Linked DNA regions of Danio rerio. The protein of the gene in region 1 binds, or shares a complex with, the protein of each later gene. Links are inferred from orthologs where the notes say so. Each region holds a gene or a part of one and is shown in the gene's direction. Other genes may lie near its edges. The genes, in order: armc8 and gid4.

Evidence for each region.
Region 2: the proteins of armc8 (region 1) and gid4 are in contact, whole or in part, in a cryo-EM structure (PDB 7NSC), measured with the Homo sapiens proteins. The link is inferred for Danio rerio from reciprocal best matches to the Homo sapiens genes ARMC8 and GID4. Residues at the interface, in NP_001350870.1 of Homo sapiens: Glu309, Pro310, Asp311, Val312, Asn371, Glu373, Arg406, His409, Arg413, Ser414, Val415, Gln416, Arg419, Thr420, Gln423, Asp424, Val444, Ser448, Cys451, Asn452, Leu455, Phe457, Ala483, Val486, Asn487, Trp490, Met493, Asn494, Phe497, Gln498; in NP_076957.3 of Homo sapiens: Leu104, Ile105, Pro106, Pro107, Pro108, Pro109, Ile110, Gln114, Pro115, Gly116, Val117, Ala118, Thr119, Gly125, Gln146, His147, Tyr154, Cys156, Tyr158, Phe174, Glu176, Phe239, Val241, Pro242, His244, His292, Ser293, Ala294, Pro295, Ile296.

What each region holds. Positions count from the first base shown.
Region 1 is NC_133184.1:29,559,471-29,563,299, forward strand, and holds part of armc8 (armadillo repeat-containing protein 8), read left to right. Parts: intron 1-535; coding exon 536-616; intron 617-715; coding exon 716-791; intron 792-1,906; coding exon 1,907-1,997; intron 1,998-2,528; coding exon 2,529-2,589; intron 2,590-2,680; coding exon 2,681-2,881; intron 2,882-3,829. UniProt on the Homo sapiens protein: Component of the CTLH E3 ubiquitin-protein ligase complex that selectively accepts ubiquitin from UBE2H and mediates ubiquitination and subsequent proteasomal degradation of the transcription factor HBP1.
Region 2 is NC_133178.1:67,130,055-67,133,883, forward strand, and holds part of gid4 (glucose-induced degradation protein 4 homolog), read left to right. Parts: intron 1-1,560; coding exon 1,561-1,620; intron 1,621-2,203; coding exon 2,204-2,311; intron 2,312-2,414; coding exon 2,415-2,516; intron 2,517-3,829.

The sequences.
Region 1 (3,829 bases):
TAAGTTTTTGGTTTAATTTTGGAGACTACAGTAAGAAATCATCCTCCACATTCAGCCGATATATATATATATATATATATATATATATATATATATATATATATATATATATATATATATATATATATATATATATATATATATATATTTATATAGTTATATATTTATCAACCCCATTTTAGGAACCACTGCCATATATAACCTCCAAATATTCTCACTGTAGTGCATCATTTGTAGACTAATACATTTTATGATTTGCACAACATCCTGCATTTATCTGCTTATGTATGGTTTGTCTAACAAATGTTTTCTCTGTAGCTTGTACAGCATTGCACTTAATGCTAAGTATTCTACTTGGGCACATGTCCAGTGCCCATGTTTACCTATTCCTGAAAACCCAATTTTAGCGCTATTTACTGTATATATTAAAACTAGTATGAAACGGGAAAGTACAAATGTATAATTTTTGTAAAAATGCTACATATATTTTCCATTAGCGTTTGTTGGTTTTATTTTATGTTTTTTTTTTTTTCAGACTCCTGAACATCAGACAGTGTTGTTCAACCACGGTGCCATCCAGAACATCGCTCCTCTGCTTATCTCTCCATCTTATAAGGTACGATATGTAACCTTGTGGCTTTTTCTGTTAGCTATTGTATTTTTAATAATGGTTGGTGTATTCTGAGTAATAATGTGGGAACAACTCTTTCTGCAGGTACGGATGCAGGCGTTGAAGTGTTTCTCAGTCTTGGCCTATGAGAACGCTCAGGTCTCCATGACACTGGTGAATGGTGAGCATGACCCTCTCTCTCCTACCATCATCATTATTTTGTCCCTCTGGCTAACAGTTAGCCAAGAATATCTCTTTTGTGTGCAGTCCATCTTTTTTCTTAATCTTTATTAATATCAGAATCACTGTTCAGTGAAATGAGAGTGTAGAGTTGGTTTTTGAAAGTATAAAATAGCATTCAGAATCTCCATTGAGAGTTTCTATACTTCTGTAGATGCTTACAAGTAAATATGATTGCATTGTAATTGCTGATTTTGCTGATTTTTGCATCATTGTTGCTAAAGAAGTAATTTCAGTCTAAGTCGCTTAAAATTTTTGTGTCAAAATTATATATATATATAATTTTATTTTATTATTATTTATTTTATATATGTATTATTTCATTTAAGGATGCATTAAATCAGTGGTTCTCAAACTGTGGTACGTGTACCACTAGTGGTACGCGGGTTTCCTTCTAGTGGTACGTGGAGAAATGAAATATGTCATGTACATGCTACATACATTTCAAAATTTATCAAAAATGATGTATATAATATGCCATATATGACATATAGCCTATATTTCTGAGGTAATCTGCCACATCTTATAACTGTGCAGAGTTGTAGCTGCTTTTCTGGGCCTACTACACTACTGTAATTCAATACTACTCATTTTGGTGGTACTTGGAGAAACAATTTTTTTCTGAGGTGGTACTTGATGAAAAAAGTTTGAGAACCACTGCATTAAATGATTCAAAAGTGACAGTATAATATTTTAATCATTCATTTATTCAGTCGTTTATTCATTCTATTTATTAAATAATCTAAGATTGTTAAAATACTCTAATCTAAGAATAAGATTTTAAAAGTTTTTTACGAAATAATTAAATAAAATGTTTGTAATATAAAGCAGCATTGTTGTTTCAAAGCATCAAATCAGAATATTAACACCTCAGGAGGACAAATAAAGACTAAAGCAGTGCCTGCTGGAAATTCAAAGGAGAAAATTTTAGATTTTAAAGTAAAGTAAATAGAAAACACATCATTAAATGTAATGCATTTTAAATGATATTTTTTAAGCTGAAACATGCCTTTAATAAATATTTGTTTTACTGTATGTACTTGTGTGTGTTTTCAGTGCTTGTAGATGGGGAGCAGCTTTCTCAGGTTTTTGTTAGAATGATGCAAAGGGACAAACCTATCGAAATGCAGCTTACAGCCGCCAAATGGTGAGTAAATCTCATCCTGCAGTTAATATTTATTTATTTATTTTTCCTATGATATAGTTATATTATAATTTTCCCCTGTATTTTAATTTAACAGTATTAACCTCATTCTTCAATGTGGAAGTGCTCTCGTTTTTTGCGATTGTTTTAGAACTTCCAATTTAGTTGACTATTGGAGAAATGACTAGAACAAAAATAATGTCAGAAAACAGTCAAACTACTTGTGTTTGCATGACTATACAGACCAAGAAGAATATTATAATAAGAAAATTTACAACATCAAGAAGCTTAACAAGCTGTTTTTAACATATAAAAATGAATGGAAGTGAATGAGACCGGAAGTCTCAAGCCAAAGACATTCAAATGGCTGCATTCGCGCTTATGTGAAGACTAAGGTGAATAGATATTGACAAGAATTAAAGTTTGAAAAAGAGCAGGAGGAATGATTTGCCACTAGATTATCTGTGCCACTAATTTAAAGTAAATTTACCTGTGTGAACTCTTCAATTTATATACTCCTACTCTTCCTCCTAGTTTAACATACATGTGTCGAGCAGGAGCCATCAGGACAGAAGACAACTGCATTGTACTGAAGGTAGCAACAACACCTATTCATATTGTGACTAATTTAAAAGCTGACAGCACACATAAACAAGTTGGGTGTGTGTGTGTGTTTGTTTGGACAGACTCTGCCATGCCTGGTCCGGATGTGCAGTAAAGAGCGGTTACTGGAGGAGAGAGTGGAGGGTGCAGAGACGCTGGCCTACCTAATGGAGCCAGATATTGAACTGCAACGCATTGCCAGTGTCACAGACCATCTTGTATCCATGTTAGCTGACTACTTTAAATACCCAAGCTCTGTCAGCGCCATCACTGATATTAAAAGGGTAACTGCATACATGTACATGGGTCAAAGGGAAATCAATAGGGATTTCATAAACAGTTGAAATAAATATCATTAGCCCTCCTGTGAAATTAGCACTCTTTTTCAAATATTTTAAACATAATAGTTTTAATATTTGCTTTCTAAAACTCATTTATTTTGCCTTTTCCATGGTGGCTGCACATACTATTTTTCTGGCTATATATTCTCACTAGTTATTCAGACTTATGGGGGTTCTTGCAAGATAATAAGCTTAACGTGCATTTTAAAGGCTTAACTAGGTTAATTATGTTCATTAATCAAGTTAGCTTAATTAGGCAAGTAATTGGACAACAGTGGATTGTTCTGTAGCCAATTGAAAAAAAAATCTTAAAGGGGCTAAAACTATTGACTTAAAAAAAAATTGTAAAAAATAAAATGTAAGGGTTTTTATTTCAATCAAACTAAAAGAAATAAGATATTCTTTAAAAGGAAAAAGTAATAAAGGACATACTGCCTTTGTTTGGCTTTGTTAAATATCACTTGGGAAAAATTTGATAAAAAATATCACCAGAGGGCTGTTAAGTTTTTCTTCAACTGTACATAGAATGCATTTTAAATGCAAGTGGAAACTGTTTAAACCTAATATTATTATAATGTTCAAATAAAATTTCAGAAAAAAATAAAAAATAAAATAAAATGTGACAGCGTGATTTATAAAAAAAAAAAAACTTTTTTATTATAAAATATAAAATATGACCTATGCTTTTCGAAATGTCTAAAAGAATGAACTGTCTCCCTAAATTGTTCTATTTTAAATTTTATTATATTTTTAATGACTATGCACTTTTATTGTTTTGATGCCTCAAGCTAAATGATTGCCATATTATTTTTGATGCTTTTTTGTCTTTGGCATTTAATTAATTGATAAAGGAGGACATATTTTCTTCTCCTGTTTTTGTATAAACCTAAA
Region 2 (3,829 bases), on another chromosome or scaffold:
ATTATGAGTAGGGCGGGAAGTTTCGCGAGTCTCCTGATGCCTGCAAACAAGTGATGATCTCCCGGTGATCTCGCGTCTCCCTCCCGGTCCTCAAATAGGCATCGTCGCGCACCCTTCTCACCCCTCCCCACCGCATCTCTCCTCAGACACGTCGCGCGCGCACCCTGACAATCACCACCAAACCACCACCTCTCCTGACAGCTGAGCGGGACGCTGCAAAATAAACCCTGACACTCTGACCAATGTGAGGAGAGTTTACTCGCACGTGACTTGTTTTAGCTCTTTAGGTCCGATTAGAAACTTTGCAGTGTGAAAGCGAACCGCTCCAAGAGCAAAGAGCAACACTGTAACAACTGTAATCTCTGTTTCAGAACAACTGAATCCATTCACAGGTGTGAAAGCAGCCTAAGACAGTGGGCCTCCCTTTTGACACAACTTATCCATTGCCGCCCCCCTCCTCCCAAACACGCACGCACACACGCGCACACACATACACACACAAATTCTGGAGGTTTTCCTGCTACCTCAACATGCTTGGTTTCAAGGTGTCGCCGAAGTTTAGCGAGTCTCATGCTGTCATTAGCCAAAATATCTTGACAAACCACACATAAAGGTCGTGGTTCATCAGCTGGTCCTGTCCACGTAAATCCAAAATCAAATACTGACCATCATATCGTCATCTTTTGGGTTTAAGCCCTAAACTTGAAGGCTTTGAATCGGGGGGTCTCAGAAACCGATTCATTGTTTTAGCAGCATGATTAGCAGGCATATACCTGTATTGGCGGGCTTGCCAAACAGAAGCGAATTCACAGCTATGGCCTTCTGGGTAAAAAAGGTTTTCTTATTTTTGACGTATTATTTTTTTTACCTTGGTTAAATAAAAACGTTTAAAAATAATAAAAAATACACATAATAATTCAACTTAGTAATTATATTTTTATTATATAATATTTTTCCCGCCTCACACTTTGAAAACCCCTGTCTTAGTGCATGTGTGCAGTGTTTTGTCCTTGTAGGTGCCATCATTAGCCCTTCACAATAAATACTTTTGGCTGTGCGCTACTATTGACTCAGAAATGATTGCGATAAGTGATGATATTGTCATTTTAATCCACCGATTATATAATAATTGTACAGTGTAACAGATTAGCACGTTCAAGAGACACACACACACACACATCTCATTCTTGAGGTTATTTAGATTTTCTAATATTCACAAAGGAAATCTGCAGATAGAATCGTTGATGTAGATGTGAAATCGTCCTTTTACAACAGCTTATTTCTGAATGCCAATCAGGTCACATATGCTGGAGATATTGATATATATGTGGAAACTATGTATTGATCTCCTGTTTAGTGTGACAGTCTGATATATTGATGACTGTGACAGGCCTACTAATAATCAATCATGGACCCGAGTCTCTGTTGTAGTGGAGTAGGGTGATTTGATGTCAGATTTGAGCTCAGATTAGCTCTTTGACAGATATCTGCTGAATGTGTTTTGCTCTGACCCACATTCGCGGAGTGTGTTTAATAATAGTCTGTGCTCTGGATCTGCAGCACGTGACCATGGAGGACTCATACCTGTGCGGATACCTGAAGATCAAAGGCCTGACGGAGGTGAGACCCACTCTTCATTTAAAGAGACAATCACTTCTATGCGGGGTTTAACCCCAGTAGTGTGTGTCAGCAGTGTGTGAGTATCTCCAACCTCTAATGGTCAACAGTGATTAATTGTGTTTGTTCTAATCAGACTTTGATTGACATTCTCCCTCTGTACGTGTCATCAGAGGAGGAAAGCCCCGCCCACTAACCTATCTCTACCTCATTAAGGACTTTAGTGCTGTTTTGGTGACTGTTGCTTTAAATTTAAATGAGTTTGTGCTCTTTTGAAAAGAGGGCGGAGCTACTAATGCCTTGACTTCTCACTCAGGGCTGCTGTTTATGCTAATTAGATGGAGAGATGGGCACTAGTGGGCGGGGCTTTCCCCTCACACACAAAGGGAAGTGTTTCCTTCATCAAGTCTGATTATAACAAACTCAATTTGTTGACCATCAGAGGCTGGAGATACTCACACACTGCAGTATTTAGACCCATTATAAAAGCAATTTGTGCATAATAGGTGCCCTTTAATAATGTTGCCTTATTAATGTTATATCAGTGTTATAAGCACACACACATCTGAATCTACTCTCTCTTCAGGAATATCCCACTCTTACTACATTTTTCGCTGGGGAGATCATTAGCAAAAAACGGCCATTTTTAACCAGGAAATGGGACGCAGACGAGGATGTGGACAGAAAACACTGGGTAATAACGATGTGTATAATCTTTGAGTCTAATTATGGATCATCAAGTGCCGTGACTGTGGTGTGGAAGCTGATCTGCTGAATGTGCTCTTCGTCTCTCCCAGGGGAAGTTTCAGGCCTTTTATCAGTATGCAAAGAGCTTTAATTCAGATGATTTCGACTATGAGGAACTTAAGAATAGTGATTATGTCTTCATGCGGTGGAAGGTAAGCTGGAGCTTATTATTTAGAGCTGTTTGGGGGTCAGATATTATTATTTCCTCCAGCACTGGCACTGTAAGTTGATCAAAAGTGACAGTAAAGACATTTGGATTATTATAATATAACTAGTGCTGTCAGAAGATTAACCACATCCAAAATAAAATCTTGTAATTGCTATATATATATATATATACACACACACACTCACCGGCCACTTTATTAGGTACACCTGACTAGTACTTGGCTGGACCCCTTTTGCCTTCAAAACTGCCTTAATCCTTCATGGCAGAGATTCAACAAGCTACTGGAGATATTCCTCAGAGATTTTGCTCCATATTGACATGATAGCATCACACAGTTGCTGCACATCCATGATGGCAATCTCCCACATCCCAAAGCTGCTCTATTGGATTGAGCTCTGGTGACTGTGGAGGCCATTTGAGTACAGTGAACTCATCGTCATGTTCACCAGTCTGAGATGATTGAGCTTCATGACATGCTGCGTTATCCTGCTGGAAGTAGCCATCAGAAGATGGAGACACTGTGCTCATAAAGGGATGGACATGGTCAGCAGCAATACTCAGGTAGGCTGTGGCGTTGATGCTCAATTGGTACTAATGGACCCAAAGAAAATCTCCCCCACACCATTACACCACCACCACCAGCCTGAACCGCTGATACAAGGCAGGATGATCCATGCTTTCATGTTGTTGAGGCCAAATTGTGAGCCGAGCATCCGAATGTGTCAGCAGAAATGGAGACTCATCAGAGCAGCAACGTTTCTCCAATCTTCTATTGTCCAGTTTTGGTGAGTCTGTGTGAATTGTAGCCTCAGTTTCCTGTTCTTAGCTGACAGGAGCGGCACCCGGTGTGCTCTTCTGCTGCTGTAGCCCATCCGCCTCAAGGTTGGCCGTGTTGTGTGTTCAGAGATGCTCTTCTGCAGAGCTCGGTTGTAACGAGTGCTTATTTGAGTTACTGTTGCTGGAGCCAGTCTGGCCATTCTCCTCTGGCCTCATCAACAAGGCATTTGCGCACACAGAACTGCCGCTCACTGGATGTTTCCTCTTTGTCGGAGCATTCTCTGTAAAGCCTACAGACGGTTGTGCGTGAAAATCCCAGTAGATCAGCAGTTTCTGAAATACTCAGAGCAGCCCGTCTGGCAGCAACAACCATGCCACATTCAAAGTCTCTTAAATCCCCATTGTGATGCTTACTTTAACTGCAGCAGATCCTCTTGACCATGTCTACACAAATAAATGCAGTGAGCTGCTGCCATGTGATTGGCTGATTAGAGATTTGAGTTAGTGAGCAGTTGGACA